Linked DNA regions of Arabidopsis thaliana. Each later gene encodes a partner of the first gene's protein in a complex. Each region holds a gene or a part of one and is shown in the gene's direction. Other genes may lie near its edges. The genes, in order: AT3G45260 and SCL3.

Region 1 (15,690 bases):
ATTCGGTTGATAAAATTCAGTGAAAACAAAAATTTGGATATCCAATTGACAATAATTACATATAGACGATCTGGCTTCTTGAGTCTTGACAATACTTGGACAAAGATCTCTATTCAAACATCAAATTCACAGCTTGGGAATTGAACTGACATATAAAGAATCAGTAAAACTATAAATCTCATTCAATAATAACCTTACTTCTTTAAAGAATTCACAATTTTGCAATAATATAAACAGAGACAAAAATAACACTTGTATTACTAATTTATTTTTAAAACTCTCAACTTTCAATTCTAAACTTAAAGAGTTAAGACTTATTAAATAGAAAATACAAACTGATGCACCACACTATTTTTAAACACACAGAACAATATTTTATAATTATTATGCTAAGTTGATGGTATATATAGATTCACTAACCCAACAAACAAAATATATTAACACGAGTTTTATATAAAGACATTTGTTAAAACGTTTACCCCGCACGAACGTGCGGGTCAGAATCTAGTAATTCGATAAAGGAGCAAAACAATATTTAATATATCTTATTGTGTGCTTACAAGTTACAACATGATCATCTAACAAATCATTAATATCTTTTAGATATTTATTAACAAATCACTAAAAGAACGATAATTTTATTATAAATATTAATAATATGAATTACTGTTACATGAAAAAATATTTAAAGATTAAAAAAAATGATTAAAAGATGTCTATTAATTTTCATGTCACCTTAAGTACGATATGATAATAGAAACACAAATGAAATAAAATCCCAAAACAATCTTCGGAAAGACCGAGTAGAATAGTGAGACTCCAAAATTTGTACACTATGATTCTTTAAAATCTCTAAACACGGGAATTTGGAGATTTTTCACCAAACATTTAAACAAAAACGTAATTAAGTTATATAATCAATCATATCGCGTTATGATAGATAGATAAAGATGTGATGATGATAATATGATGATGGTATGATGATGATAATAAAAATGGTAAAATAATAATATATTATATTCATAACTCTTAATTAATTTTTTTATGTTTATGAAAATTGTTTAGTTAGTTATTATTATTTTATTGGGTACATTGATATAGATTCTTAGTATTTGCCCATAAAATTAAATGGGCTCACAGGTTAATTCAACCTCATTAGTAAACTCATAAACTATTTGTGTCTCATTCCAATTGATCATTGGTTAGATTCAGTTGGATTATCCATTTTGACACACCCAAGAGCAAGTATCAGTCCATCATTATAAATAAATATGCCCATGATTATTATTATAAATATTAATATCATAAATTAAACTTGTGTTACATTGAAAAAAAAAAGAGAACAACAAATTAATAAGAAGGTGGCTTAAAGCCTATCAATTTACATGTAATCTTAAGCATTTCACGATACGCAAAACGCATAGGAAACAAAATTCCAAAACAGTCTTCGGTAAGACCGAGTAGTATAAAGCAACATTCTTTTTTGACATTTTTAAATTTGAAATGCTTCACTGCTTCTACACAATCCGGAATTTTTCCTGCGTCTGTCGCACAAGACAATGGTTTTGGCAACAATCCTTTTTTTGACATTGGAGCAAAGGCAAAATCATTATTACCTTTCGTAATTTGGGAAATGGATAGCATCATTATCATCACTACTAAGATGGACACAGACACTCGCTTGTTCCCACTCATTTCAAGTGTTTATAGAATTTCTAGTCTGTCTTGTGATGGTAATCGTAACATCTTTCATAGTATTTATAATAGTGTATAATTATGACCCTTTTAGTAGACGATCTATATTGTTTTTTTCTTGGATTTTGTGCATACATGTGTTAATTTTACTAGGACATCTTACCTTTGGGAGAAAACGAATACATTGTATTTTATTAACCATTTGTGATATGTTTCATTATATAAAAGAAACTAATCGATTAGATTTTTTCACATTGTATTATTATCTTTGTTTTTTTTTTCCTGAAAATAAAGTTATTCATTTTCTCAACTAGTAAAAAATTTATCTTTGTTTTAAAAATAGATACCGTTTTAGAGTAAAATAATGTGAAATTATATGCTAAGAACAAATATATATAGTCACATATCTATATAAAATTTTACAAAAAAGATTTCCTTACAAGAAACTTTCATAATTAGTGGTGGCTTATTTTCTTTGTAAGCATTGTCGCTCAAATTACAAACCTCATATTTGACATTATCATGAAGAAAACATGGAAGAAAACAATATATCTTATGATACTGAAAATGATTAAAAAAAAAAGAAAAAAGTGTTTTGATACAAGTAAAGAGATTACGAAAAAGAAAGTGCTAGAGTGTGGAGAGAAACAATATCTTTTTGTTCATTAAATTAGAGATAATAATAGTATTTTAGAACAGTAAACTTATGAATTAGTTCTTAATGATTTTTGTGGAATCTATAACCAGAATTATTTTTTTGCTTTCTCTCTTGCGTCTTTTAATCGAACTGAGAAAAGATGCTCTACGGATCGGACACTGAAGAAGCCTATCTGTTTGCTCACATTGGACCATAACTTGTCACATACCAATAAAAGTTTAAGTCCACTAAAAGAAATCTTGTGTAAATAATATTTCAAACAAAGAAATCCATGCAAATTACTTATAAAAATATTACAAGGATACACAAAACATAATAAGAACCCAGAACAACTTTCATGAGAAATTTATTTTAATCTAATGGTTAAATGTTATTTTTACAGCGGTTCAGTCTCATTACCATGCGTTGTAGAATTTATCGGTATATTCGTTGAGTTTTGTCGATCCAAAAAACTACAAATAAAAATCAAAAATATTTAGTGGTCAATGTTTAGATTGACTTGTACAATAAGCTGCCTATTTTGCTGGTTTCCAGTCCTCAGCCAATAAAGAAGGAAGACATGTACAATGGTTGCTATTATGGCGTCGGATGGTGTCAGCTTGTGTGAGACCTCTTTTTAAGAAAAATATTAACAAAAACTTTGAAAAAAAATCTTTTTTGTCTTTCATAAATTTACCATTATCAGTAAGTCTATTAAAATAGCAAAAGATATAAAATCTTCAAATAAATTTTAAATAAGGATATTGGTAAAAACTCTCTCAAGTATTGGCTGGTCTATTTTAAACCTCAACAGAAAAATCCCTCAGATAATTTCTTCTCATGAAAATACCCCTCAACTAAGTTATTAATAAAATAATATGTCAAGTTAGTTCATAAACAAAAAATATTCATTCATTCTATAATACCTTCAAAATCCCAATACTGAAAAAACTAAGCCTGGGCGTTTAATCCGAATCCGATAAACCGAACCGCATCCGAACTGGGAAAATCGGATTAAAAACCGAACCGAATCCGCTCAATTAACCGTTCGGTTATTGATTTCTATATCCACGGTTATCGGATTTTATCCGATCCGAACCGAAATAATATGGCTATCCGAAACCAACCGAAGAACTTCTTCTATACACTACTCTTTAGCCTTCGAAGTCTGGATCCACTTCCCTTATGATGATTATCAAACAATATGATTCGATCCACTTCCCTAATCTTCTTGATTTTCCTAGCAATACGGGATCCACTTCCTCTAGATTATAACCATAAAACCCTAAGCTCTTTCAATATGGAATTCTTAAGCTCTCTTTCGTCACAATCGCCTCCATCAGAAGCATCAAGCAATCGATCTCGGGTATGTGTTTGAACTTCAATTCTTCTTCTTCATTAGCTATCGTCTTTGTTCTTTGATTCTTCTTCTTCATTAGAAAAAAAATTGAAACTCATTTAAATTGATTTAGTCATATAGCTAATGATAAATTCTTTGTTTGGATTTTAAAAATTTGTGTATGTTGGAGTTAAATTCTTAGTCGATTCTAATCCTCTTGTTGTGTCAATGGATGTTTGTTGAGTAGCAAGAGTATATTTTTGATTGTGAGAGTATAGTTTTGAGTAGTGAACGTATATTTAGATGGATTCTCATTATTCTTATGTTAAAACTTCTCATTATTCTTATGTTTAGATGGATTCATCACCATTTCCAAGCAACAGTGATGTGGGGAATGAGAAAGTGACTGAACCTGAAAGTGATGCTGCTAACAAAAGGAAGGATGTTCAGGAAGATAGTGGAGCTACTTCAAAACCACCTAAGACAAAGAAACCAAGTCAAAGGTCGTTTGTCTGGGACCATTACACGAGATTTGAAGATAATCCTAAGAGATGCAAGTGCAACTATTGTCACAGAACCTACGGATGTGATTCTAAAGATGGGACTTCAAACTTGAAGAATCATCTTCGAATCTGCAAGCATTATCAAGCATGGAGTCAGAAAGCAAAACAAACTGTTTTCAACAATCAGGGACATCTTCAGAGTGGGAAAGTTACATAGGAGATTTTAAGAGAAGCTTCAAATGAGATGCTTGTGCTGGGAGAATTACCACTTTCTTTCATTGAAAGCGCGGCTTGGAAACATTTATGTGAAAAGGTAAACCTCTATGCGCCACATTCTAGGAGAACTTGTATGAAAGACATTGTTAAAATGTATGTGGGAATGAAAGCATCTCTGAAGACTTGGATTGCGACTACTAATCCAAGAGTCTCTTTGACAACAGACATCTGGACAGCTAAAGCTACAGTTGCTAGTTACATGGTGATTACTGCTCACTTTGTTGATTCTGCTTGGAAATTAAGGAAGCTAATCATTGGGTTTAAGTACATTACGGATCACAAAGGTGCAACAATAGCAAGGATTCTTCTTGAGTGTTTGGCTGAGTGTGGAATAGAGAAGATTTTCACTATCACAGTGGACAATGAAACAACAAACACTTCTGCTTTGAAGAAATTTCAAGAAACATTCAGCTTAAGGAGTAATGAAGCATTTGTTTTAGAAGGCGAAGGTATGCATGTGAGGTGTGCTGCTCACATAATCAATTTAATTGTCAAGGAGGGTTTGGTTGAATTGGGTGATCATGTGGCAGCCATACGCAATTCAGTGCAGTATGTGAGGTCTTCTACTTCAAGGTGTGATTCATTTGACCAGAAAGTTGTCTCAGGCAAGATGACTAGAGGGAGTTTACCGTTGGACATCAAAACAAGGTGGAACTCTACTTACTTGATGCTGAAAAGGGCTATGGAGTTCAGGTTGGCATTTGATAAAATGGAAGCTGAAGATAAGTTGTATAATGACTACTTCAATGAAGTAGACGATGGAAAAGCAAGATCGGGCCACCTACAAGAGCTGATTGGAATGCAGTCGAGAGGTTAGTGAGATTTCTGATCATATTCTACAACTCCACTTTGGTCGTGTCTGCTTCTAATTCAGTAGCTTCTTATAAGTGCTATGGTGAGATAGTGACTATAGAGACGAATTTGGTGTCACTAGGCAATAATTTTGACAGGGATCTGAAAATTAAGGCTAAAGCTATGTTAGGAAAATTTGTTAAGTATTGGGATGGAACAAGAAACATTAATGTTTATCTGATAGTTGCAAGTGTCTTTGATCCAAGGAAGAAAATGCAGTTTGCTAATATGTGTTTTGCAAAGCTTTATGGGAAAGATACTACTGATGCTAAAGAGATGGCTGAAAAGGTCAACAATGTTTTGACTTCCTTGTTTAAGGAGTATAGTAGTCGTTTTCAGAAAACATCAAGTGGTAGTGGTCCATCATCACAGTCCACTCAGACTTCGATTACTGCTAGCCAAGGTGAGCCCTCTGATTTGATGTCTGATAGTATGGGGTATGAGAGGATGGACTTTGCTTATAAGGAGTTGGTTGATGAGATTGGGGTTGATGATGGTAGGGACGAGTTAGATGTGTATTTGAAGGAGAAAGTGGAGAATCCTAAAACTATCATTGGATTAGAGTGGGAAGTACTTTCTTGGTGGAAGCTCAATTGTGGTAGGTTTCCTGTTTTGTCTGCAATAACTAAGGATGTCCTTGCAATGCAAGTGTCATCGGTTGCATCTGAAAGTGCTTTTAGTAACAGTGGTCGAGTCATAGAGCCACATAGGAGTTGTTTAACTCATTATATGGTTAAAGTGTTGTTGTGCACAGAGCAGTGGATGAAGAATGTGAATCACTTAGGTAATAAATCTGTTGTTACCATTAAAGAGTTGCTTGCCGACATTGTTGAGCTAGATAACATTGAAAAAGGTAAATTCATCCCTTATGCTCTATTTCAATTCTCTCTTAATAGTTTTAATTGTTCACAGTTTTAATTTCTTGTTTTTCTTGATTACAGAGTTTGATGGCAACTCTGCTTAGAAGACTCTTATCCTCAAACTTTTTAATCGGCTATAAGGTAAATTGTTTTAAACTTGATGTTTTTGATTCATGTATTTCATAGATTAAGAAGTTAAGTATTTTGTTGTATCAAGGTTCAAGAACATGGTGAAGTTTGAGAATGCGGCAAAGAAGAAGCTTGAGGTTGCTGTTGTTGGCTTGTTTTCACTCTCTTTCACTTTTTTTTTTACTACTTTCCAATTGAATTCTGCTACTTCTTCACTCTTTAAGATGTTATGGTTTACTTTTCTTTCAAAACTTTGATGTATTGGCATAGTTTATGCCTCACTTTGGTTTCAAAAACTTTATGGTTTGCTTTGCTATGGTTTCATTTCATCTACTCATTTTTTGCATAGCTCGTTTTTTCGGTTTAAGTTCGGATTAATATCGGTTATTCGGGTTCAATCGGATGTTAAATATCATATTCATACCGATCCAAAATCCAAAATATCTAAACCGAAACCGATCCGAATTTTATAATTATCCATATGGATATTAGAATCTAAATCCAAAATAACCGAAATCCGAAACAACCAAACCAAATCCGATTCGATAACCGAACGCCCAGACCTAGAAAAAACCACCATTGTATTAGTGAAGTAGGAATTTGTTTTCCCAAATCAATTATGTTTTAGCCACTTTTATGTTTTTGATTAAAATGATTTATTCTACAAAAATTTGAAAAGCCCAAGACGAACTAGTTTAGTCCTAGCTGATATTATTTTGGTCAGACACTTTGAACTTCCTATTGCTTTGAGAGAGTACATAAACAAAGTAGACATATAAGTTTAAAGATTTGTTTGTCATTATATTATGGTTTGTATTTTCCAATAAGACAAACAAAATCCAAAAATTATTTTGGTTGGCAGAATCAATGGACTTGTCTTGGATATATAATATATCACCATTTATCCTAATCTATTAATGATGCCCTTCAAATTCTAGACTAGGGAGATCATCAACCTGCATGATCATTAACTATGTTTAAGAATTCCTCCTTTTTTCTAGCACAAGATTACCTTATTTATGATCTATTCAAAATGATCAAAATCATTTCTGGTTTTCTAAAGGAAAACTAAAGTGAATAAGAAAATTCAGAGCAGATTTTGGATAGGGAGAAGGAACAGTATCTCTTTGGCTGAACAAGCAGATGAGATCTATCTTCCTTTTCCATGGGACCCATCCAAACCTTGTCGACCCTTGTGTCTATTTTAGAACTCTACATCACTTCTTTTGGATTTTATTCTTTCTTACCCAAGAAGTAGTTAGGATTTATGATTAGGAACTTAGGTTCTTAGAGACTCTAGATATTATAAGAAAGAATCATGAGATATTGAGATTGATCTCAAGATATAATTACCTAAAAATTCAAAATGTAAATTAATTTTTTTTTTGATTAATGGATCTAAATCTCATAATATCCTCGTGTGGGAGACTAGAGCAGGTTAATTGATGTAAAAGAAATTTATCTAAGCTAAAACACACACTGTACAGAATTAGTTAAGGAATTCTGAGTTATTAGTTAGTATCTTAAAATTGTTAGCTTTAAAATAACAAAGAGGATAACAAAACCTTCCAACTCAATTTTTTATTTTTATTTTGGTTAATTACCAAAAAGATTTGTTTTCAAGTCTGAATAAAACCACTTATGTTGTTTGTAGTCGTCGTACATGGCCTTGGTTTAACCTAGCTATATGTTTTTTATTTATACTTTTCTCCTCGGCTTTACATATATACTTATCGAACTGATTTGTTATATATATAAATGAATTCATTGTATATATATATGGGATGAAAAGAGACTCCGAAAAATCCAAAGAGCCTACAGTTAGAAATGTCATAAAGTTTACACACCTCATAGATAAATTATGCACCCTATATGTATTTATGTATTTGTAGATTGTATTGTACGTATACACTTGACTTGAGTACGTATGTATACTTTGCGTTACGTAGATGGGAGAGTATATAGAGAATTAGAGAGATAGAAAGTGGTCCAGTTTGAGTCTATCGCTGACCGACTTGTAAGAAGAACAGTCGTGTGTGAAGAGAGAGAGATTCCCTCTTCGCCAGCTTTCTTTTTGGTTTTATGCTACAGGACTCTTTGCAAGTGTCCAAAAGCTTACTATCACAAATAATAAAACAAAATTCTATTATAATAAAAATTTGTACCGACGACCCCAAAAACAATCAAAAACAAAATTCTTTTTGAAATTTTCTTGGAAAAAATGGGCATCCCTATTTTTCAAGTCATCAAACTTTTAGAAATATCTAGTGCTTACTTCTCTATAAGTCTTGTGGGATTGTTTTTATTAAGAAACTAGTGTAAAACATTCATCAATTAATTGAAATAAGAATTTCTGATATATAAAAAAACAAGGACTATTAGCAATAGTTGAACTTCTTGTACGCTAACAGCCATAAGAAAATATAATAGTCAGCTTACAAAACCTATATTATAATGGGAAATCAAATAAAATCATAAATTTTATATATTTTTTAAAAAATTAGGTGTATATAAAAATAACTCTCTCTATATAGTATAATGGAAATATATAATTAGTTACATTCTTACTTGTTTTCTTCTTCATAACTCTCTCTGTCTTCTTGCTAGCTCTCAGAATTTTACTTGATTTAGTAGAGAACTGTATTGACGAATTAAAGAGTTTTTCTGTATATCTCTCTGTCCACCTGTTTTGTCTTCTTACTTAGAAACTCTCTCTTTCTCTGTCTTTCAACTAAACCAATATCAGCATGATGATGCCAGATGATCATCATCCCCTCTCATTTCCCAGCTATGTCCTTCACCAAGAACACATCGCTCCAAATCCTAACCCTAACCCTAATCCTACCTCCTCTAACTCAGCCAAGAGGAAGAGAAATCTCCCGGGAAATCCAGGCATGTATATAAATACTTAATCTAAATCTAGGACTTGTCATATAAAATAGATGAATTTCTTGCTAATTTGTTTTTTTTTTTTCGATCAAGAACAATATTCTTGTTCCAGCTTTGGATCTCTTTTTTATTTATCATAAATTAATTCATTGGTTCTTATTTGGTAAATGAAATTTAAACACCAGATCCAGATGCAGAAGTCATCGCTCTATCACCAAACTCCCTCATGACAACTAATCGATTCATCTGCGAGGTTTGCAACAAAGGATTTAAGAGAGACCAGAACCTTCAGCTTCACCGGAGAGGCCATAACCTTCCATGGAAGCTAAAGCAAAGGACAAACAAGGAGCAAGTGAAGAAAAAAGTGTACATCTGTCCAGAGAAGACTTGCGTACACCATGACCCGGCCCGAGCCCTTGGTGACTTAACTGGAATTAAGAAGCATTTCAGCAGGAAACATGGTGAAAAGAAGTGGAAATGTGACAAGTGTTCCAAGAAATATGCTGTCATGTCCGATTGGAAAGCTCATAGCAAGATTTGTGGTACTAAAGAATACAGATGTGACTGTGGTACCCTCTTTTCCAGGTATGTATTACAACACCCTTTTTTAAGTCAAATTTTTTTGTTAAAGAGCGAAATTTAAATTTCATGAAAAACAATGTCATACAACATTTAGTTTAATTTAAATTCAATTGGCTTTAACTAAAATCAGCTAAGATCTCTTTATTGAATTAGTATATATTGGATGATTGGATTGGAACAGGAAAGATAGTTTCATCACACATAGAGCATTCTGTGACGCTTTAGCTGAAGAGAGTGCTAGATTTGTCTCAGTTCCACCAGCACCCGCATATTTGAACAATGCCCTGGATGTGGAAGTCAACCATGGAAATATCAACCAAAATCATCAACAACGACAGCTTAATACTACTTCGTCACAATTGGACCAACCTGGTTTTAATACCAATCGCAATAACATTGCCTTTTTGGGACAAACCTTACCAACCAACGTTTTTGCGTCCTCATCATCTCCATCACCTCGTAGTGCATCCGACTCCCTTCAAAATCTATGGCATTTACAAGGACAATCATCTCACCAATGGCTTCTCAACGAAAACAACAACAACAACAACAACATTCTCCAAAGGGGAATCTCCAAAAATCAAGAAGAACATGAGATGAAGAATGTGATTAGTAATGGTTCTTTGTTCTCTTCGGAAGCACGAAACAACACTAATAATTATAACCAAAACGGTGGACAAATAGCATCAATGTCAGCCACGGCATTGCTACAAAAGGCAGCTCAAATGGGATCAAAGAGATCATCATCAAGCTCAAGCAATAGCAAGACTTTTGGTCTAATGACCTCTATCTTCAACAACAAACAAGCAGAGAATATCAAAACTAAGGAAGTTGATGAAAGAGGTTTCACGAGAGACTTTCTTGGTGTGGGAAGTCAACACCGTTCTTGGCCGTTATTGATGGTCAACCATAATCTTCCAGACTCGTCTCCTCCGGCCTCCACGGACGGCACACCAACCGCCGACATGAACCAGTAATCTTGTATTGTTCATGTATACTATAAGGTAAATTACATTATGTTATATGAGTTTTGAGAAATATCGAGATTCCTCTGTTTATGATATTCTCTAAGTGCAGAGACGTGAAGTATGAGATTCAAGTGACGAGAGGATGGTTTAAGCACGGCGAAGAAAACGGTGAAATATGAGACTTTTGACTCAGGAGAGAATCTCTGAGTCAACTCGGTGTTGCAGATGGGTCCACTCGGTTGATGAAGATGGGAAGCTATTCGGGTCCACTTCTGCATGCATGACGAAACCTCTGACCATGCATGCACAGCAAAACATACGCTATGTCTTTTCTTATTCTTCTTATTCTTCTTTTTCTTTTTCTTGTAATTATTTCATGTTTTAATTTTGAAAGACCCTAAAAGAAACTATGAAAAGTTCGTAGTTTGTTACTTTTTATTTTTTCATCGTAGAAAGGTTAAACTTTTTTTTGAAACTTTGATATCTAAAATTTTTTTTTTTTTTTTTTTAATAAAATTTAAAATTTATTCGAAAAACTTTTGTACAACAAGTGCATCGTTTGAGTAGAAAGTTTGTATTTAAAACATAGAAATCAAAAGAATAGAGACTAATGAGCTACGACTCTATTATGATTTATCTTGAGGAGAACCATACGCTCATGCATGCATCGTAGGTGCGATTCCCTTGCTCTCTTATTGATGAGATGCGGTTTTGAACTTGCTTGCCAAGATTTCGGACTAGATGGACTGATGGTGTTTCAGCTTCACCATGTTTTCGACAATTTCTTTCTTTCCAAATTGAGTAAATCGCCAACTGAAAGACATACCTTATTAAGAAGAGGTTGATTTTTCCAATGGTTTTGTCTATGAGTGTCTTGTGGACTTCACTCCATCTTGTTGTGAATTTTGTGCCAAGAAGAGTACGACTTAGCCCGGACCACACCTCCTCAGAGTTCTTGCATCTAAAGAAAAGATGATCTCGGTCTTCTAATGGTGCTTGACAGAGAACGCATAATGGGCACTCCAGTCCGCCAACGTAGCATTCTGTCACCTGTGGCCAATCTGTTCCTTGTTGCAAGCCATGAGATAAAAGAGTATTTTGGGGTTGAATGGGCGAACCATATACCCTTATACCATTCTGTTCGTGGCTTGGCTTCTCGGATTGCGTCCCAAGTTTCTCTCGTACTAAAAACCGGTTTAAACCGGTCGTCTCTCCCTTTCCAGAGTACTACATCATTTTCTCCAGCGACTCTTTTTTGTCGTGTTTCCTGCAACGCAGTCTCAATATCATTCAAATAACCAAGTCTGTGTCGCCTTCTTCGATGACATTCAAATGCATCTGCCACCGAGGAGTGAAGGCTTATCCCCATATCTATGCATCCTCTATGTCCCGCAATGTCAATTAGTTTCCCAAGTAGGGACCAATTGTCAAACCAGAAAGAGGTGCCAAGTCCATTCTTCACTGTTACTCTAACAAAACCAGCCGCTGAATCACGATACTTAAGCAACTTTTTCCACATCCAAGATCCCAGTGTAGTAGTTTCGCTTATTGACCAGAAAGAAGCCCTCTTGATAAGATAAATGTGTATCCATCTCGCCCAAAGAGAGTTTGATGATAGTAACCTCCAGATTAGTTTATAGCAGCTGACCTTATTTGCCTCATTGATCGATCGTAGGCCTAAACCTCCCTGCTCTTTAGGTGTGCAAACATCTTGCCAGGCTACTTTTGCTTTTTTTTGGCTGAGAGCGGGTCCCGACCATAAGAAAGCAGAGCAGAGTTGGTCTATCTGTTTTGTGCAGATAAAATTACGAGTTGTGCCAGGCCAATTCGCATGGCTTTTTATGAGTATGTCCAGCCCAAAGTCTCTTATGTATATATGTCCTACTTATATAATTAAAATATTTTTTATTCAAAAAAAAAGAGTGCTCAAGGATAGACCCAACATTTGTGACATAAACCACTGCACCATAAGACTTATCATAATTGATGCATAGAGCACCAGTTTGCTGAATTTTATATAAGGGTCAAACCTGCTTACGAGCTTTTAGTATATTGGAAACTCCGTAAGGGCCAAACCTGCTTAAGAGCTTAACAAAAGTATTCCACTGGAGACAGTTTTTCTATGGGCTCTTAATATATTTTTTTATGATTAAAATTCAAAAAAATAGTTGTAAGATAGCTTCTTTTTTTTTTTTTTTTTTTTTTTTTTTTTTTTTTTACGGGTACTGGATTGAGAATGGGCGAGTCTAGGGTTTCGAGCGCAGGGGAGCGGGATGCTACCATGGTGGATATTGGTGTGAAGTCTCGTCCACCGGGAGCACCACCAGATGATCCGGGAGTATGGGTGCAGAAAGTTAAGGGGACTAGTGTGGGAGGAGTCCCGATCCCAGAAGAAGTCATCTCAGAGGAGTTTGTTGCAGAGAGACTACGGGTGGAGTTTCCTAATGGTGAGGATGGTGAGCCGGTCATTACGATTGGTCAAGAAGTGGTGGATGCGATGAATGGTCTGTGGAAAAGGTGTATGGTAGTGAAAGTGTTGGGTCGTCATATTTCGTTGCCGGTGTTGAATCGAAAGTTAAGAGAATTGTGGAAGCCTTGCGGTGCAATGTACGTCATGGATCTTCCACGACAATTTTTCATGATTCGTTTTGAGATGGAAGAGGAGTATCTGGCAGCGCTTACTGGGGGCCCGTGGAAGGCGTTTGGGAACTATCTCATCGCACAAGCTTGGTCGCCTGATTTTGATCCCTTGCGGGATGAGATTGTTACGACGCCGGTGTGGGTGCGGATTTCAAACTTTCCATGGAATCTGTATCATAAGTACATCCTACTAGGGATTGCTAATAGCTTGGGGAAACCTATTAAGGTGGACTTAAACACACTCAGTTTTGAAAGGGGACGTTTTGCCAGGATTTGTGTAGAAGTAAATCTGCAGAAACCTCTTAAAGGAACAGTGGTGGTTAACGGGGAGAGATTCTATGTCTCATACGAGGGGTTAGCGAACATCTGCTCACAGTGTGGTATGTATGGGCACCTTGTTCATAAGTGTCCTAGGGGGGTCTCGCATGGAATAGGGGAGGAGAGCATGAGTGTGGAAGTGACCAAAAATGTTCAGAATCCGGTTGTTCCTACACATGATGGGGATGGATTCACCCCGGTAAGACAAAGGAAGACGGTGGCTCAGGTTAACCGGAATGTGAATGCACAAGGTGGGGCTAGAGTTAATGTGAATCGCAAATCAAGGGATCATGTGAGGAAAAAAGGAAATGAGTTGGTTGTGACGTCGAACTCATTTGGTAAGTTGGGAGAGGATGTGGAAACAGAGGGGAGAAGGAAAGAAATTATTGGTGTTACGGATAATAAGGAGAATGAATATCCCATGAATTCAGTGGTCCAAGATAGGAGTGGGGAGCAAGTTAAGGTTACCAAATTTGTCGCTACAACGGAGGGAAAAGGGAAAGGAGTAATTAGAGAAGGGCTACGGGATAGGCGGGCCTGGAGTCATAAAGCCCATGAGAGTAATGAGCTTTCGGCCAACGGTAAACGTGTGAGGATAGAAGAGATAAGTCTGGGTCGACCAGGAGGGTCATTCTTCAATGGAGTTGACGGAGAACCTGGACATGAGAAACCCGATTTGGTCGGCATGGAAGTGGCGGAGGAGATTAGGCCGAGTTTGGAGGATAATGTAGTGGTTGTGGCGGGAGGGACTCAGGGGGCCGCGCCAGCGTTATCGACGGAGCTCACTCTTCTGTGACGGGTTGCCCCGGTTATTCTTTTTCTTTATCGATTATTAATGATGAATTGCATTATGTGGAATTGCCGGGGGGCGAATAAACCTAACTTTCGAAGATCAGTTTGTTATCTTTTGAAGAAATACAAGACAGATTTGTTGGCGGTGTTTGAGACGCACGCAGGAGGGGCGAGAGCAGATCGGATTTGTCATGGTTTGGGGTTTGAAAATAGTTTCAGAATCGACGCAGTTGGCCAGAGGGGTGGCATTTGGGTACTATGGAGGTCGGAAATTGGGAAAGTTGAGATTAAGGAGTCTTCAGAGCAGTTCGTCTATGCGCGTATAGAGAATGAGTTCGAGATACTTAATTTGATAGTTGTGTACGCTGCTCCTACGGTTAGCCGAAGGAGTGGTTTGTGGGAGAAGCTTCGTGAAGTAATCAGGGGAATAGATGGACCAGTGGTGATAGGTGGAGATTTCAACACAATAGTCCGACTTGATGAAAGAACGGGCGGTAATGGTTGTTTGTCCCCGGATTCTGTAGCATTTGGAGATTGGATAAACGAGTTGTCCCTGATAGATATGGGATTTAAAGGAAATCGATTCACATGGAAGAGAGGGAAATCCCAACAGTTTTACATTGCTAAAAGATTGGATCGGATTCTATGTTGTGCTCACTTTAGGCTGAAATGGCAGGAGGCTACGGTGACACATCTCCCTTGTTTGGCTTCTTATCATGCTCCCCTGTATCTTCAGTTGCTGCCGAAGACGGGATGTGATCCTTCTAGAAGACCTTTTCGTTTCGAAGCGGCTTGGTTACAACATGAGGGTTTCAAAGAGTTGCTTTTGACATCTTGGGATAGAGAGCTGAGAACTCAAGAAGCGTTGAATAAACTGAGAATTACTCTTTAAAGATGGAATAAAGAGGTTTTTGGGGATATCCATTTGAAGAAGGAGAAGCTACTGAAGCATATAACCATCATCCAGGATTTGCTGGAACAAGCGCAAACTGATGATCTGTTGAAGCAAGAAGCTGAGTTAATTAAGGAGCTAGACATGGTGCTTGAGCAAGAGGAGATGTTGTGGTATCAAAAGTCACGTGAGAAGTGGGTGGTTCATGGTGACAAGAACACGAGCTTCTTTCATACCTTTGCTATCATTCAACGCAGGAGAAATCGAATTGATATGTTAAAGGACGAAGAGGATAGATGGGTTGTGGATAAGGCGGAA
Region 2 (15,750 bases), on another chromosome or scaffold:
AACCGTGGATTTCGGAAAAGGCATCCGGAAAAGAGATGTTTATCTTTTGTAAGTTACCCTTCCATATCAAAAGCTACATTGACATACTGAAAAGGATTTGCTTAGATCAGTGATTTTTTTCAGGAATTTGCCAGAGGTGAGATCAACTCATGAAGTTCTAGGAGTGCCAACTGTCGTTGCTCGATTCGGCACAGCTCCTTTCTTCTGGAACTGGGGAATGGAGATAATGACAAAACTCTTACCATCGGTATCATGCTCAGACCTTACCTGAATCAATGGTCCTGTGATCAGTTATATCTACCTGTAGTCATATTGCAATGCTTGTCTTGCACGCTGTAGGAGGTCCTTAGAGACAGAACCAAAGTCCAACAAATGGTAGAGCTTTTTGACCCTGTCGTTAGAGCCATGGATGGCTTTGCTGGAGAGCGTGTCTCAATGAGGGTAAGTGAAAAAACAGATAATTGCAAAATAATTTTGCAGTAGTTATTTCGGTGACTCATTGTTACTTATGTTAAACTCTTTGGGAAGGTTGATTTGGAGTGCTCGGATGGACGGACCACAGTTGGGTTATTTAGTCATAAAAAACTATCAGTGTGAGTCTCCTTAACATCCCCTATATACAACATTAATACATATATAAAGCTATGTATGAGAACCGATACATGTTGTGTTTACAGATCCGTTGGAGTTTCGACCGCAGCTTTTGTTGCAGCAATGCTTGAAGGAAGCACACAACCAGGGGTTTGGTTTCCAGAAGAGGTATTTCTCTCTAGATTCCCTAAGAGACCTTCATTTTTAAAAATATTTGATTTATGATGAAATATAATGTTTAAATTTTGTTCTACAGCCTCAAGGGATCGCAGTGGAAGCAAGGGAAGTTCTTCTCAAACGTGCATCACAAGGAACATTCAATTTCATACTGAACAAGTGAGCCATTTTTGTTCCTCTTATTGCAGATATCGATTCTTTATTTCCTCTATTTTAGTTTAATAATGTATTTGCTTTGGTTTCTTCTGATATATAGGCCACCCTGGATGGTTGAGACCGAGCCGAAGGAGGTGGTTTTAGGGATATACGTATGAGTTCGACTGAGGAAGAAGAAACATAGATGATCATCGATACTTTACTTTGTAAACCAATTTACTTCTGATATGTATACTCGAACAGATAAACATGTTCATCAGAAGATATACAACTTAAAAAAAAAAAAAAATCAAAAAACCACTTGGAGATGACACAATCGTTCGTTGAAGCAACCATATAAATCAATGAAGAATATAATTTACAGGTGACATGAAGAGTAAAGATCCAACAAGCTCTTTTCTTGTAGTATATGTTCAATAAAGTCCCAACATTTTTAGTTCCATCACATGACTCTGATCAAGCTCAGGAACATTCTTGCAGTCGCGGTCTTCCACTATATATTCCTGTTGTGAGTGACACGAAAACAGTGATGTATACCAGAAAAGTGATTACCGTAAATCAAGAACAGAAAAGCTGCAAGATATCAGACCTTTGTGAGTTCTTGTTTGGCGAGAACATGGTAATGCCGCTCGTTGATCTTTTGGCCACATATTATGGCGATGAAGAATCCATATAGCAGTCCTACCAAGACAATGGCCAAAACTGCAACAAAAAATAGACCATCATGTTCATTATACGCTCAAGTGGTTCAGCACAAAGATGATTCTGATTGACTCTAATCCTGGTGACTGGGCTAATGTCCATGAGCCTATAGAAAACAAAAATAGTTGTACCAGCCAATGTGTAGAACCCATAAGGATGTTCCTCATAACCAAACATTTCTCGTAGTTCTTCACCGTAGAACTTGTAAACTAGTAACCCCAAGAATGCTACAATCTGTTGATACGAGAAGCCTTTGTTCATTAGTATATAAATGCATTCACTAAGAGCATCAAATGTATCATCCAATCCGAATTCATACAAGGGATCTCCTGTTTCGGTGTTCAAATGCGATAAGAAACCAATAGTTTGGTCATAAACTGCTATGTGGCAATTATAGCTAAGGATTTGCATTCTCATGATTGAATTCTAGTATATAGTAACATTATAGAAGAAAGTCTATAAACACTAAACTCAATCATGAGAATGCAAATCCTTAGCTATATGACCAATTTTATAGCTAGGAAACAACGAATTTGGTCATAAAATGGGAGATTGGGAGTCAAGAAGCTAGTAACATCATAGAAGAAGAAAGTGTATTAAACACTAAAATCAAAAAAAGGAAACAAGTCATGTACCATCTGGACAGAAATGAAGATGAAGGCATGATCTCTAGCAACCAGCAGCTGAAATCTCAATCTCAACCACCATCTATCAGCAGGCACATTGGCTCGGAGTTTGAAAAAGGCTCTACACTCTGTACAATGCGAAAATGCAAAACCTTCCTGAAACATATATTGCATAGAAACAAAATACACTTCATAAGCTAAGTAAACCATTCATTCAAAAGAAGAAGAAACTTTCTGGAAACGGTGACGATAATATACCTTGGTGGAGCGCCAATTATCGAGACAAGATCTGTGAACGTGCTTTTGAGTACCTTTACAATTGCACGGAGCAATCAGATCTTCCCCTGCAATCAAAGAACAAACCAAGTCGTCTCATTGTATCCTCACTCAATTGAGTTAAGGAATTGCTTTTATTATACCTCCAACATCAAGGCAAATTCGACATTGTGGTTGATCTCCAGAAACAAGAAGTGTGGTTTCGTCATCATCAGTCTCAGCTATTTCTGAAACTTGTCCTTCCTCCACAACACGATCTCCTCTTTCCGCTGCTACGATTTCGTTTGAGGATGTTGATTCGTCGAATAAAATCTGTTCCTTTCTATCATCATCATCATCACTAGGCACTAATTGCATCTCTTAAACATACTAAAATTTCTGGAAATGAAAAAAAACTGAGAAACGCAAAAGAATTCAACACAGCATCAGAAAACTAGATCTAGGTTTCGCCGGGAGTTACCAAAAACATTAGAAAAAATCGATACTTACACGAATTCAACCAATTCTGGAGAATTTTCTTCCAAGGCAAGCCATTGCTTGCGAGTTAGAAGAAATTGGTAAACTATGACTGCGAATCAGAGTGAAGAGAATTTGATTTTGTTAGTCTCGATTCATCACTATGTGTTGAATACAGAGATGACGAAGATCTTTTGAGGGTTGAGAGAGAAGAAGCTAAGAAGATTGGGATCAATCAAAAACGATGGCGAAGAAAAGTCTCAAGGGTAAAATTGGAATTAGAAAAAACATGTGGAGAGCACGTGACACGTGGGATTTATCTGAGTTTCACAGTAGACCTGTGAAGTTCATCGTCTTCATCGTTAACTTCGCAGACTCTGTTGATTAGTCAACACAGATCAGAATCTGAGGCTTTGGCCGAGACGAGAGAAGCAGAAGAAGAAAATGGCGGAGACTGTACATTCTCCGATCGTTACTTACGCATCGATGTTATCGCTTCTCGCCTTCTGTCCACCTTTCGTCATTCTCCTGTAAGCTCATCAATTTCTGATTCGCAAGTCTTTATTCTAGTTCTCAGATCAGACTCGCACACTTTTCTGGCTCCTTAATTCATAGCGAGAAGTGCATAGCCGATATCTTTAAATCCTTTCCCATTAAGTAGGACTTGATAAGAGTCTTTAATTGAAAAAGCGATTCAATGATTCTTTCTCTGGCCAATGTGAGTTTCCAGATTTTTAGGAAACAAGGGTAGATTTAAAGCTACAAAATCATATTTAGTGAGTTTTAAGTAATGCTCACAAGTTTCATTTCTTTATGATGCAGATGGTACACAATGGTTCATCAGGATGGTTCTGTTACTCAGACCTTTGGCTTCTTTTGGGAGAATGGAGTTCAAGGACTTATCAACATATGGCCAAGACCCACTTTGATTGCTTGGAAAATTATATTTTGCTATGGAGCATTTGAAGCTATTCTTCAGCTGCTTCTGCCTGGTAAAAGAGTTGAGGGTCCAATATCTCCAGCCGGAAACCGACCAGTTTACAAGGTATGTTCATTTAGTCTTGTGTGGTGGAAGTTGATGCAGATGACAACTGTACGGTTCTTTTCTTGCAGGCCAATGGTCTGGCTGCTTACTTTGTGACACTAGCAACCTATCTTGGTCTTTGGTGGTAAGAAATGTTTCCGATGACTTTGGTTTGGTTTAAGTTATTGTTTACGTATCTTAAGCTTGGATTAAGTGTTGCACCTATGTGAGTTCATTTCTGTGCGTTATTCAGGTTTGGAATCTTCAACCCTGCAATTGTCTATGATCACTTGGGTGAAATATTTTCGGCACTAATATTCGGAAGCTTCATATTTTGTGTTTTGTTGTACATAAAAGTAAGTGTCTATTGCATGAATGGTGTGTTCTTTGTTTTCTTAGTCTCTATTTTTGTAGAATTTGACCTTTTGTGTTGCTAAAACTTATTTTTTTTTCTTGTACAGGGCCATGTTGCACCTTCATCAAGTGACTCTGGTTCATGTGGTAACCTAATAATTGACTTCTATTGGGTGAGTTATTTCTGCTGATCAGATTCTCATTCTTTTTGAAATTGCTTGTTGGGATTTATTTGAGGAACTCTGGTCTTACTAGCCATCTCCTCATAATATTTTTGCCTCTTTTCTCGACATTTGGAGGTCAAGTTTCACTAAAGTTTCCAATTTTAGTAGACCTGTAAACGGAAATGTTCTTAGCAGTATTTATCTTTTTATTGATTTAAGTACAAGAGAACTAGTTTGGTGTGAATGTCTGTCGGTGAAGGAAAAGAACAAAGTATCCAGTAGTTATTATAACAATATCAAGTTGAGATCTTCTCTCACCATGTACTCTTTTGCTCCAACTTATCATTAACACAATCCAATTTGTGGCAATCTTTTTCTCACTGTGTTTTTCGCGTCGTGCTTTGCAGGGCATGGAGTTGTACCCTCGAATTGGTAAGAGCTTTGACATCAAGGTGTTTACTAATTGCAGATTCGGAATGATGTCTTGGGCAGTTCTTGCAGTCACGTACTGCATAAAACAGGTATTTTCTGGATAATTCTTATGTAAATACTACACTCTGACGACATAGTCTGGTGGTTTCTTTAAGTCCTTATTTCATTAGAGAGCTTCACCTCTTTCTGATTTGTGATTCCTGTACTTTCTTTAACCAGTATGAAATAAATGGCAAAGTATCTGATTCAATGCTGGTGAACACCATCCTGATGCTGGTGTATGTCACAAAATTCTTCTGGTGGGAAGCTGGTTATTGGAACACCATGGACATTGCACATGACCGAGGTATGCTTCTGGTACATATATAAAATTTATATCATCACATCCTCATATAGGGTACAAGGAAAGAAAGCCAGTAGTAATAACAAAAGTTTCTCTACTGTTTGGCTATAATTTCCTTGCCAGTTCTGTTTATATGGCTAAGGCAGCAGCATATTATTCAGATTATTGTTACTGGCTTTAACACATGAACTTAAGCTTACTTTTCAATGCTTTATAATTTATGATTCTTCAGCTGGATTCTATATATGCTGGGGTTGTCTAGTGTGGGTGCCTTCTGTCTACACTTCTCCAGGCATGTACCTTGTGAACCACCCCGTCGAACTCGGAACTCAGGTGCATAATTTTGAATTTGTCTAGAAGAGAGAAATCGTCTTTGTGTGTTAATCCAATGAGAAACTTTTAGGATACCACTTTTTTATACGAAAAAAAACAAGTAAGGTTGAGCTAAATGTGAAAATCCCAATTTCTAGGAATTGCACTTAACTCTTGTTATTGAATTACTTGGTATCTTCCATTACAAAACAGACGGGAGAGAGTAAAGTGTAGATTGTTGATCAAATGCTCGTTGCATATTATGCTCATGATTGTAGTTGCCAGATATCAGTTTTTCTAGTAGTAGAAGAAAGCTGTTCATGAAAACACCACTGATGCTACGATCATCGGGACATATATGCCTATCTCCGTACCTAAGACTTCACTATATCCGTCTTTGGTTGCAGTTGGCAATATACATTCTCGTTGCAGGAATTCTGTGCATTTACATAAACTATGACTGTGATAGACAAAGGCAAGAGTTCAGGAGGACAAACGGGAAATGTTTGGTTTGGGGAAGGGCCCCGTCAAAGGTGTGATCATAATAAGCCCCAACTAGCTTAGTGAACTTAGCTATATTCCTTTTCAGACCTAAACATTTTGATGTGTATGAATCTCTCTTGGTCTCTCGGTTTGTTGCAGATTGTGGCGTCGTATACTACAACATCTGGTGAAACTAAAACTAGTCTTCTCTTAACGTCTGGATGGTGAGACTATTCTACATTATACAGTTACAACCATAAAAGTAGACGTTGTTCATCATCAATGGCTTTGAATGTGCAGGTGGGGATTGGCTCGTCATTTCCATTATGTTCCTGAGATCTTAAGTGCTTTCTTCTGGACCGTACCGGCTCTCTTCGATAACGTAAAATACTATCCATCTATTTGCTATATTCGAAGCTCTTCTTGCAAGTTAAACGCACTTAACATATAAATCATCTTTGTTTAAACCAGTTCTTGGCATACTTCTACGTCATATTTCTCACCCTTCTTCTCTTTGATCGAGCCAAGAGAGACGATGACCGATGCCGATCAAAGTAAGCACCAAATCTAAATGATTTATTTTACACATCCTCTTTGATCTTACTCTGATTTGCTGACAATATTCGGGTTTTGTTTTGGTAAAAAGGTATGGGAAATATTGGAAGCTGTATTGTGAGAAAGTCAAATACAGGATCATTCCGGGAATTTATTGATTGTAACGAAGTCTGTTGTTCTCATTTTCTACTTATTACGTTAATTCGAACGTTGGAATCATCAAAAGACCGTGCCAAAACAAAAATGCAAATTGATGCGATAGACATTCTTTTGCTGATTTGTATGCTATAGGTTTTCAAATCTCTAGCTACACTTATGTATTTCCCTAGATTATCAAAGTTAGCCTGCCGTTTTCTAATTTTATTATTTGATATTTTGATTATACTGCTTCTTAATGCATCAAATAAGTTGATTCATCCATCTAATATTTTAACTACATCAAATGAAGTCTTTTATAAGTACAGGCACTAATTGAACTTGAACCCTATAAAATACATGAATAATCACAAAGAATTGATAGTGTTCTTTCAGTTTTTCAATCACAAAGAACTCACCGACATTATCAAGTTGACTTCACTTTTAGACTTAATTGGTGTTCTGGAGGATCCACAAAACTACTATTACACAGTTTTCACAAAATTGTGATTCTTTATTTTTTATTTTCTTTGGTCAAACTAACATTTCATTCAACTTTAAACGAGAGTTGCCTCCACGTGGAGAGTATACACAAAAAGCTACGAGGACAAATGCTCAAACAAAAAGACATAAGAAGGGGAGCTCAGAAGCTCAACCCGAGTAGCAGCATCCAAAGTTGCTAAAACAGAACCATCATTTACTTCTGAGGCGGTCTTCGTACCAAGCTCCTTCAGCAAAATTGTGATTCTATGTTTGGATATCATGAGATCTAACTACAAAGTTTTTAATAACAAAAACTTACCATTCTCTAATTTGTAGTCAAAGCTAAACAAATTTCATACTAAAACAATTTTACTGTGTTGTTATGGATGCATATTTTTCTCACTTTATAGTACTATTTTACTATTGATAAGATGAAAAAAAAGTTGAGGTACAATAGTAGTAAAATAGCATCATTCTTTTTCTGTAGAATCTCTCTGGTCAATGGTCTTTTTAGTTTAAAAACTGAATAATGTTCTCTCTCACACAGTAAAAAACAAAGAGAGAGAGAAAGAAGAGAAGAAGACAAAAATGTAGGCATTAAAAAGAAGAAAAAGACAAAGAGAAAAGTAATGAAAAGACAATGAACATTTAAAGAAGACAGACAAATCCCACACCCAAGCCTCAGCCTCATCTCTTTTATTGTTATTTGTTTTTCTAACAAAACAACAAAAACAAAAGAGATGGTTTTTGGGTTTTGTTTTGTCTTTGTTAGGGCGTGTTTGGACGTTTCCTTCTTCTCAGAATCAATATTTTACCAAAACAGCTTTCTTTTTTTCTCTTTAACAATTTTTTTGATGTAGAAATATATAGTCATGATTCCAAATCCACCTCATGCCATGACAAAAACCCATAAAAGTGGAGGTTCCAATCTCGAATACAGACATATATGTTGTATTCGTGTATGTATCTATTATAAGATAATTCCAATTTGTATAATGCCAAATGGGTTCATTGAACTTCTTCTTCCTTCATAATTAAGTGTTGCTTTTTCTTCTTAGTTCCTCTAAATCAAGAAAATTCTAGGTGAAACTTCTCTTATCTTGACTTTATATAAAATAATAACTATAAAAATAATCAATAAGACTAATTCCTACAAGTCTTACAAATTTAAAAGAAAATGAAAATGCAACATTAGCTAATACACATAATAGTATAAGATTGATGGATGTATTCTTATTCAGTTTTATTTATAAATGCAACATAAGCTAATACACTCTCATTCAGTTTTATTTATTAATGTTACACCACTTTAAGAGCACTCAAAATCAAAATACGTATTCTTATATGATATTCATTCATGTAGTACTAGTACACATAATAGTATAAGATAGATGGATGGGATTGGAAAATTTGACAACCTTTTGTTTAATAATTCCTTAAAACCAAGGAAAGAAGAAAGAGGAAACGAAAAAAACAAAAAGGAAGAAGACAAAACCGACTATCACGCATTGTCTGGTACGTAGAGCCAAAAGGAACAATGCCTCTGTTTTAGTGTTTTCTTTCTTAAAGTTTTTTCCCAAAACACAAACAACATTTCACACACACGCTATTACTCACAAGATAACCACCAGAGACGTGGATAGAGAGATAAAGATTGAGAGAACCCTCTCACTCCCAAAAAAAAAGCTTTAGACATTTTCTCTAAATCCATGTAAGTTTTTTTCTTTGGTTATTGTTGTTTGTTATCTTCTTTGATCATTTGCTATTATTTTGTTTTGTTTCTTTCTTAGTTTATCAAATTAGGAAAGTTTTAATTCAGCTCTCTGTTTGTGTTTCTTCGTCTATATCTATTTCAAATAGTTTAACTAGATTCAAAGGTTTTTAAAATTCAGTACTTTCTCTGCAAACCCTAGTTCCTCTGTTCTTTAACCCCCTTTTTTGTTAAACTGCAGATTCTCTGCATCTTTCAAGAAATTCCGAATCGTGGGTTTGGTTCTTCTCGTTACGAGTCTCTCAAAGTTTAAATCTTTCTTTACAAAAAAGGTTACTTTTGGTTCTGAGTAAATCAAAATCAAGCTTTTGGCCTTCAATGGTGGCTATGTTTCAAGAAGATAATGGAACATCTTCTGTAGCTTCATCACCACTTCAAGTCTTCTCAACTATGTCACTCAACAGACCGACTCTCCTCGCTTCTTCATCTCCGTTTCATTGTCTCAAAGATCTCAAACCAGAGGAGCGTGGTCTCTACTTAATCCACCTCTTGCTAACTTGTGCCAACCACGTGGCTTCAGGTAGCCTCCAAAACGCTAACGCAGCGCTCGAGCAGCTCTCTCACCTCGCTTCTCCTGACGGCGACACGATGCAGCGAATCGCTGCTTACTTCACCGAAGCGCTTGCTAACAGAATCCTTAAGTCCTGGCCTGGTCTTTACAAGGCTCTTAACGCAACTCAGACAAGAACTAACAATGTCTCTGAGGAGATTCATGTTAGAAGACTCTTCTTTGAGATGTTCCCGATACTCAAAGTCTCTTACTTGCTCACTAATCGAGCTATACTCGAGGCTATGGAAGGAGAGAAGATGGTTCATGTGATTGATCTCGATGCTTCTGAGCCAGCTCAATGGCTTGCTTTGCTTCAAGCTTTTAACTCTAGGCCTGAAGGTCCACCTCATTTGAGAATCACTGGTGTTCATCACCAGAAGGAAGTGCTTGAACAAATGGCTCATAGACTCATTGAGGAAGCAGAGAAACTCGATATCCCGTTTCAGTTTAATCCCGTTGTGAGTAGGTTAGACTGTTTAAATGTAGAACAGTTGCGGGTTAAAACAGGAGAGGCCTTAGCCGTTAGCTCGGTTCTTCAATTGCATACCTTCTTGGCCTCTGATGATGATCTCATGAGAAAGAACTGCGCTTTACGGTTTCAGAACAACCCTAGTGGAGTTGACTTGCAGAGAGTTCTAATGATGAGCCATGGCTCTGCAGCTGAGGCACGTGAGAATGATATGAGTAACAACAATGGGTATAGCCCTAGCGGTGACTCGGCCTCATCTTTGCCTTTACCAAGTTCAGGAAGGACTGATAGCTTCCTCAATGCTATTTGGGGTTTGTCTCCAAAGGTCATGGTGGTCACTGAGCAAGACTCAGACCACAACGGCTCCACACTAATGGAGAGGCTATTAGAATCACTTTACACCTACGCAGCATTGTTTGATTGCTTGGAAACAAAAGTTCCAAGAACGTCTCAAGATAGGATCAAAGTGGAGAAGATGCTCTTCGGGGAGGAGATCAAGAACATCATATCCTGCGAGGGATTTGAGAGAAGAGAAAGACACGAGAAGCTTGAGAAATGGAGCCAGAGGATCGATTTGGCTGGTTTTGGGAATGTTCCTCTTAGCTATTATGCGATGTTGCAGGCTAGGAGATTGCTTCAAGGGTGCGGTTTTGATGGGTATAGAATCAAGGAAGAGAGCGGGTGCGCAGTAATTTGCTGGCAAGATCGACCTCTATACTCGGTATCAGCTTGGAGATGCAGGAAGTGAATGATATATTACAGTTTGTCTTCTATTTTGGTTATGAGCAGAGTCCCTTTCTTTTTTGTATACATGGGGACACAATCTTAGTTGTTTTGTGATGGTGACTTTCTGTCTCTTTATGCTATTTTGGCTTAAATGCTTCTACTGCCTCTGCATGTAAAGCCTTTGTGTGTTGGTTCAATTTGGTCTGGTGTGGGTGTAATACCAAACCAAATCCAATTTGAGCTGAAGATAACTAATTTGATGATCGGTTCAAGTTCAGAACTCCAAATTCTTTCAGAGACCAGCCAAACTTTGCCTATCTTTAAGCAGGTGATCTTGTCATTTGTGTATTGTAAATAACTTAAACTCGGTATATATATTTAGGTTACTAAAGGACATGTTCACTATCCAAAGAGTATACGACTTATCTGCTGTCCAAATACTTTGTAACCTAAAGTTCACGTGCTTCATTTACATTGAATCTAGTTTAACCTAATCTTCTTGCTTCATTTATATTTGAATTTTGTTTAAGCAATCTAGTCTTTATCTTGTCTTAGCAAATTCACAGAGTGTTTCTCATGCAAAAGTGTTGCATGATCAAAACACCTTGATAATAAGATTGAAAGAGTAATGTGATCCCAAAAGGAAAGAAGATCTCGGATGAACTGATTCAGAAAAAGTATATACTCTGATGTTATATATACTATGAGACAACAGCTAAGTTATTTACATATTTCCTCATTTCAAATCTGTGAACCTGAAGAACACAAGAATGCAGCTCATGATCAAAATTCTGAAAGAAGCGAAACTTCGCCAACCCAAGATTTAAGAACAGCTACACCATGAATAGATATTTGAGATCATCAACTGTTAATCGAGTTGCAGAGCTTCCACCATGATCTTCACCAAAGGCAGACGCAACCATTTTTCTTTTCTCTTCCTATAATAATAACCAAAAATCACACAACCACAAATGAGAGAAACTGAGGGGGGAAACAAGTATCAGCTATAAGGGATCTTTACCTGGAGAGCCAAAATTCTATCCTCCACAGTATTTTTTATCGTAATACGAGTTACAGTAACAGGTCGAGTTTGTCCAATACGATGTGCTCGATCAATAGCCTGATCTTCAGTAGTTGGATTCCACCATAGATCAAGAAGAATGACATGACATGCAGCAATCATATTCAGCCCAAGATTTCCAGCTTTTAAAGACATTATCATCACTTTTACCTGTTTAAGACAAAAAAACAAAAAAAGGAGGGAACACATACACCACCACTAAGAAAATTGTTTAGGAAAAAATGATTTCAGATATGCATACGACTTACATCTGGATCGTTGCTGAATTCTTTCACAGCTCTGTCTCTGGCAATTAGACTCATTGTACCATCTAATCTTCTGAATTCTATACTATTTTCAATTAGAGATAGCTCCACCAAGTCAAGCATACCAGTCCACTGAGAAAATATAATCGTTTTTATTGGTCCTCCATTAGAAGGAGTTGACTTCAGACTCGTTTTCTCGACAATGGTGACATCATCATCATCATCATCATCATCATCATTCGGCTGCTGCGAGGAAGAAGCCATTTGACCATTCTGTGTTGAGTTTGAAGTGCCTTGGTTAGAAAGCGACTGCAGAATATCTAAGACAGCTTTGATCTTTGATGAACTAAACTCGCCATTCTGAAAAACTGATTTATCATGACTATTATCCTCTGAGGAACTACAACCCAAATCATCAGCAACGCAACTTCTAAGCGTGGATTTAGAGAAAACAACATCATGCGCAAGCTGTTCTCTGCATCTAGGCGCAGGGCACGTGTCCTCATCCCCTGTGATATAATCTGATACACACTGATAGCAGAATATATGGCCACACAAAGTAACAACAGGGTCTTCTGGTGGATCCTGCAAAGAGAAAATAAAACGGAATTTATGGGTAAAGAAAATCAGAACAAGCAGCTAGGGACTTAGATTATGGCGAACCTGAAGATACGCTACTTATATTTGCTAAATTATTATGCACTTACATGGCAGACACAACAGATGGGAGACGATTCTAAGCGACTGAGCAGGCTAACTAGATCCTCTTTAGGGAGTTTTTTAACAGCTTCTTCTGATACTTTTCCAACAGAATCTGAGTTATATCTTTTAACAAGTTGGGGGTGGTCACAAGCTTGGCGTAGTCGCAAAAGCATGAGAAGAATGTTTGCATAGTTTTGATTCAAAGTTCCTGCAGCAGCATATGCCTGCAGAGAAAAAAATATCATCTCACATACTTGACAGGAAATCAGGAATCACTGCAAAACATTTTTTTCAACGAAAATGCCTCCATAACCTATGTTTATACCATATCAAGTTGCTAGTTACTACGTAAGTATCATATTTTTCAAAAACGTGCAGATCACAGCTATAAACCAAGGATAAACTGATAGTTTGGAGGAGCACAGAAAGAGCACCTTGAACTGAGAACGGGAATCGGATTCAAGCTTCACGTAGAAAGACCGCTCCTCTACCGAAAAGTCCACCTGGCTCAAATTAATTGTCTTTGGTGGTAGATTAATTATAGGCTGGCCATCAAGCAATGTTCCTAGATCGCAGATCAGAAGAAGAGTATCAACTTATCAGAAACCCTCAAAAACAACACAGTTACTTGAGGGATAAGAGGAGTAACATGAAAAATATATCATCTAAAAGCAGAAGATCAGAGTAAAATGAAATGGAAAAATGCACAAACCGAAGAATAGTATTGGACTTAACTTTAGGACTATCATTAGGTAATGGCTCAGGTAAGATCACAGCTAATCTCATTATAAAGTATCTAAGATATAAGCAGATATAATAAGAAAATGCATGACATATGATATACCACTTTTGTCAAGTCCTGTCCCTCACCAATCCAACCACTAAAAGGAATAGTGAGATAGTTAAAATACCTTTCGTACGGCGTAGCATTATAGCCCTTAGAACAGCCTGAAGCTTCTTGTACCCTTGAAGGGAATTTCTGGAAATTGGACCCTTAATTTGGTGGCAGAATGACTTGTACACAGCATATGGATCATATTTTAGAAACCTGAAATAGCTGTATAAATCATCTATTGTATTTTGTATTGGTGTTCCAGACAAACACCACCTCCTTTTGGCTCGAAGACCGCAACATGCTCTTGCCACCTGGGTTCTATGATTCTTAATTGTTTGAGCTTCATCTAGTACAACTCTGAACCACCCAACTTTTGCTAGAGTACCAGAGTCAGGGTCAGATGAATCGCCAGCATTATTGTTACCTTTTTTCTTCTTACTCTTCTTAGTAGTACCCACTACATTTTTCCGTTTCTTATTGATGGAGAAGCCAGAAGCGAGACCATATTTTTCAGAATTTTTTTCATCATTCTCATCGTCATCAACCAGGGGTTGCTTTGGAACTTCATTTGAAACAATGGCGTAAGTTGTCATAACCACATCATATTTTGCTAGTTCAATAGGATCTTTGGTCCTGTTACCGCCGTGGTATATTAAAACAGAAAGTTTGGCTTCATCAGTAACCTTCTCATCAAGTTCTCTTGCCCACTGCCGCACAACACTTGCTGGACAAACAATTAAAGTACCAGCAGCTGGTCTCTTTCTGTTGAATTTGCGTGTTGAAGTACTCGCTTCTTCTCCCTTGGCTTTCTTTATGCCTGAATCACCATTCACACCACTACCATTTGAAGCCTTAGACTCTGGTTTCTCAAATGCATTTTCTGACTCATCATCAGCATCCAGATCCAATGCTTCAGCCTCTTGATTGCCTGAATTCTTGGACTTTAATTTTGCCTCGTGCATTTGCTTTAGGATAAGCGCAATAGTCGAGACTGTCTTACCAAGGCCCTGTGCAGTAGACCAAATGGAATTTGAGGGAAACCTAGTAAGATCATAGATAGTTAAGCGGAAAATAACTACGATTAAAAGTAACCTGATCATCAGCTAATATCCCTCCCATACAGTGCAAACTATTAGTTTCCTTCTGAAACATCCATGCCAATGCAATTTTCTGAGAAACAACAGTGTTAAGTACACAAGACCATTCTGACAGATACTGAAAGATGATGTAAACCTGAATACCTGATGCTTCATAAGGGGAACCGAAAGAAGACCAGCAGGTAAATCGACCTCGGACTTGGGTTGATTCAGTTCCTGCAGAAAACATGTACTTAATTATCAGAAGTTTAAGCACTTATCACACCAATTCATATTGTGGGCAAAAGTCTTTATTTTTAAATCACACCATTTCATACCAGGGGAATTATGCAAAAACACCAAACTCTTCAAATGGAAATCATAACCTTGATGCAACAGTGCGAAATAAGAGACGAATGCAACAATAGTGAATGTTCCTATTCCTTCTCGTTTGTCAAAAAGGAAGAACAACAATGCTTCCATACACATGGTCTAAAACAGAGAAATTCAGCATGTTACCCGGTCTCAAGCATCATTGAGAAATTGAGACATCCGAACCTTTAAAAACCTATTACTCATTTCTGACATAAAACAAACAGGAAGAAACGAGCCTATTCCAATCATTCAATGGCCAAGTTCAACAACCCCACAGCTGGCGAAAAAGAGAAGTGCATTGCACAAAAGAAAAACTAAGATGAGAATCGCAAAAGTCAAAAGTTGGGATAAGGATGAACACCTGTAGTGCAGCCTGATAGATCAGCCTCTCGTCATTTTCCGAATTCCTTTCTTCGCCTATGCCATTCCTATGCATTGGATCACTTAATCCATTAAAATGTGAAGGAGACGCAGATGTTCCGTGCGCCACAGATGGAGGTAGGATCCGAGTGCCGTTAGTCACACGCCCCATGCCTAGATCATCATGTGCTCCACCACGAAAGTGACTCGCATTCCCGTTACTTGTACCAATATCAGGTCTAGGAGGAAAAGGAGGTCGACTAAAGGTTGGTGGATGTGTCCTTTTAAAAG

Evidence for each region.
Region 2: the proteins of AT3G45260 (region 1) and SCL3 are in contact, whole or in part, in a crystal structure (PDB 6KPD), measured with the Arabidopsis thaliana proteins. Residues at the interface, in NP_001327332.1 of Arabidopsis thaliana: Met352, Ser353, Ala354, Thr355, Leu357, Leu358, Lys360, Ala361, Ala362, Met364; in NP_175459.1 of Arabidopsis thaliana: Glu48 (codon at 9,500), Gly51 (codon at 9,509), Leu52 (codon at 9,512), Ile55 (codon at 9,521), His56 (codon at 9,524), Thr90 (codon at 9,626), Met91 (codon at 9,629), Tyr367 (codon at 10,457), Ala370 (codon at 10,466), Ala371 (codon at 10,469), Asp374 (codon at 10,478).

The regions. Positions count from the first base shown.
Region 1 is NC_003074.8:16,591,899-16,607,588, reverse strand, and holds AT3G45260 (C2H2-like zinc finger protein), read left to right. Parts: upstream 1-8,777; 5' UTR 8,778-9,038; coding exon 9,039-9,183; intron 9,184-9,365; coding exon 9,366-9,765; intron 9,766-9,943; coding exon 9,944-10,739; 3' UTR 10,740-10,766; exon of another isoform or gene 10,767-10,839; 3' UTR 10,840-11,231; downstream 11,232-15,690. Other genes in the region: AT3G45275 (ECA1 gametogenesis related family protein), read right to left, coding at 1,351-1,695. UniProt on the Arabidopsis thaliana protein: Transcription factor that, together with JKD, regulates tissue boundaries and asymmetric cell division in roots by a rapid up-regulation of 'SCARECROW' (SCR), thus controlling the nuclear localization of 'SHORT-ROOT' (SHR) and restricting its action.
Region 2 is NC_003070.9:18,673,234-18,688,983, reverse strand, and holds SCL3 (scarecrow-like 3), read left to right. Parts: upstream 1-8,683; 5' UTR 8,684-8,980; intron 8,981-9,221; 5' UTR 9,222-9,358; coding exon 9,359-10,807; 3' UTR 10,808-11,290; downstream 11,291-15,750. Other genes in the region: AT1G50450 (Saccharopine dehydrogenase), read left to right, coding at 1-48, 124-247, 340-441, 529-593, 678-759, 848-927, 1,025-1,082; AT1G50440 (RING/FYVE/PHD zinc finger superfamily protein), read right to left, coding at 1,338-1,427, 1,514-1,626, 1,758-1,860, 2,262-2,408, 2,511-2,596, 2,672-2,885; DWF5 (Ergosterol biosynthesis ERG4/ERG24 family), read left to right, coding at 3,429-3,514, 3,807-4,029, 4,098-4,153, 4,262-4,364, 4,470-4,535, 4,934-5,047, 5,178-5,304, 5,534-5,634 and 5 more; AT1G50410 (SNF2 domain-containing protein / helicase domain-containing protein / zinc finger protein-like protein), read right to left, coding at 11,619-11,723, 11,807-12,016, 12,115-12,696, 12,819-13,037, 13,248-13,378, 13,725-14,655, 14,741-14,818, 14,890-14,961 and 1 more. UniProt on the Arabidopsis thaliana protein: Probable transcription factor involved in plant development.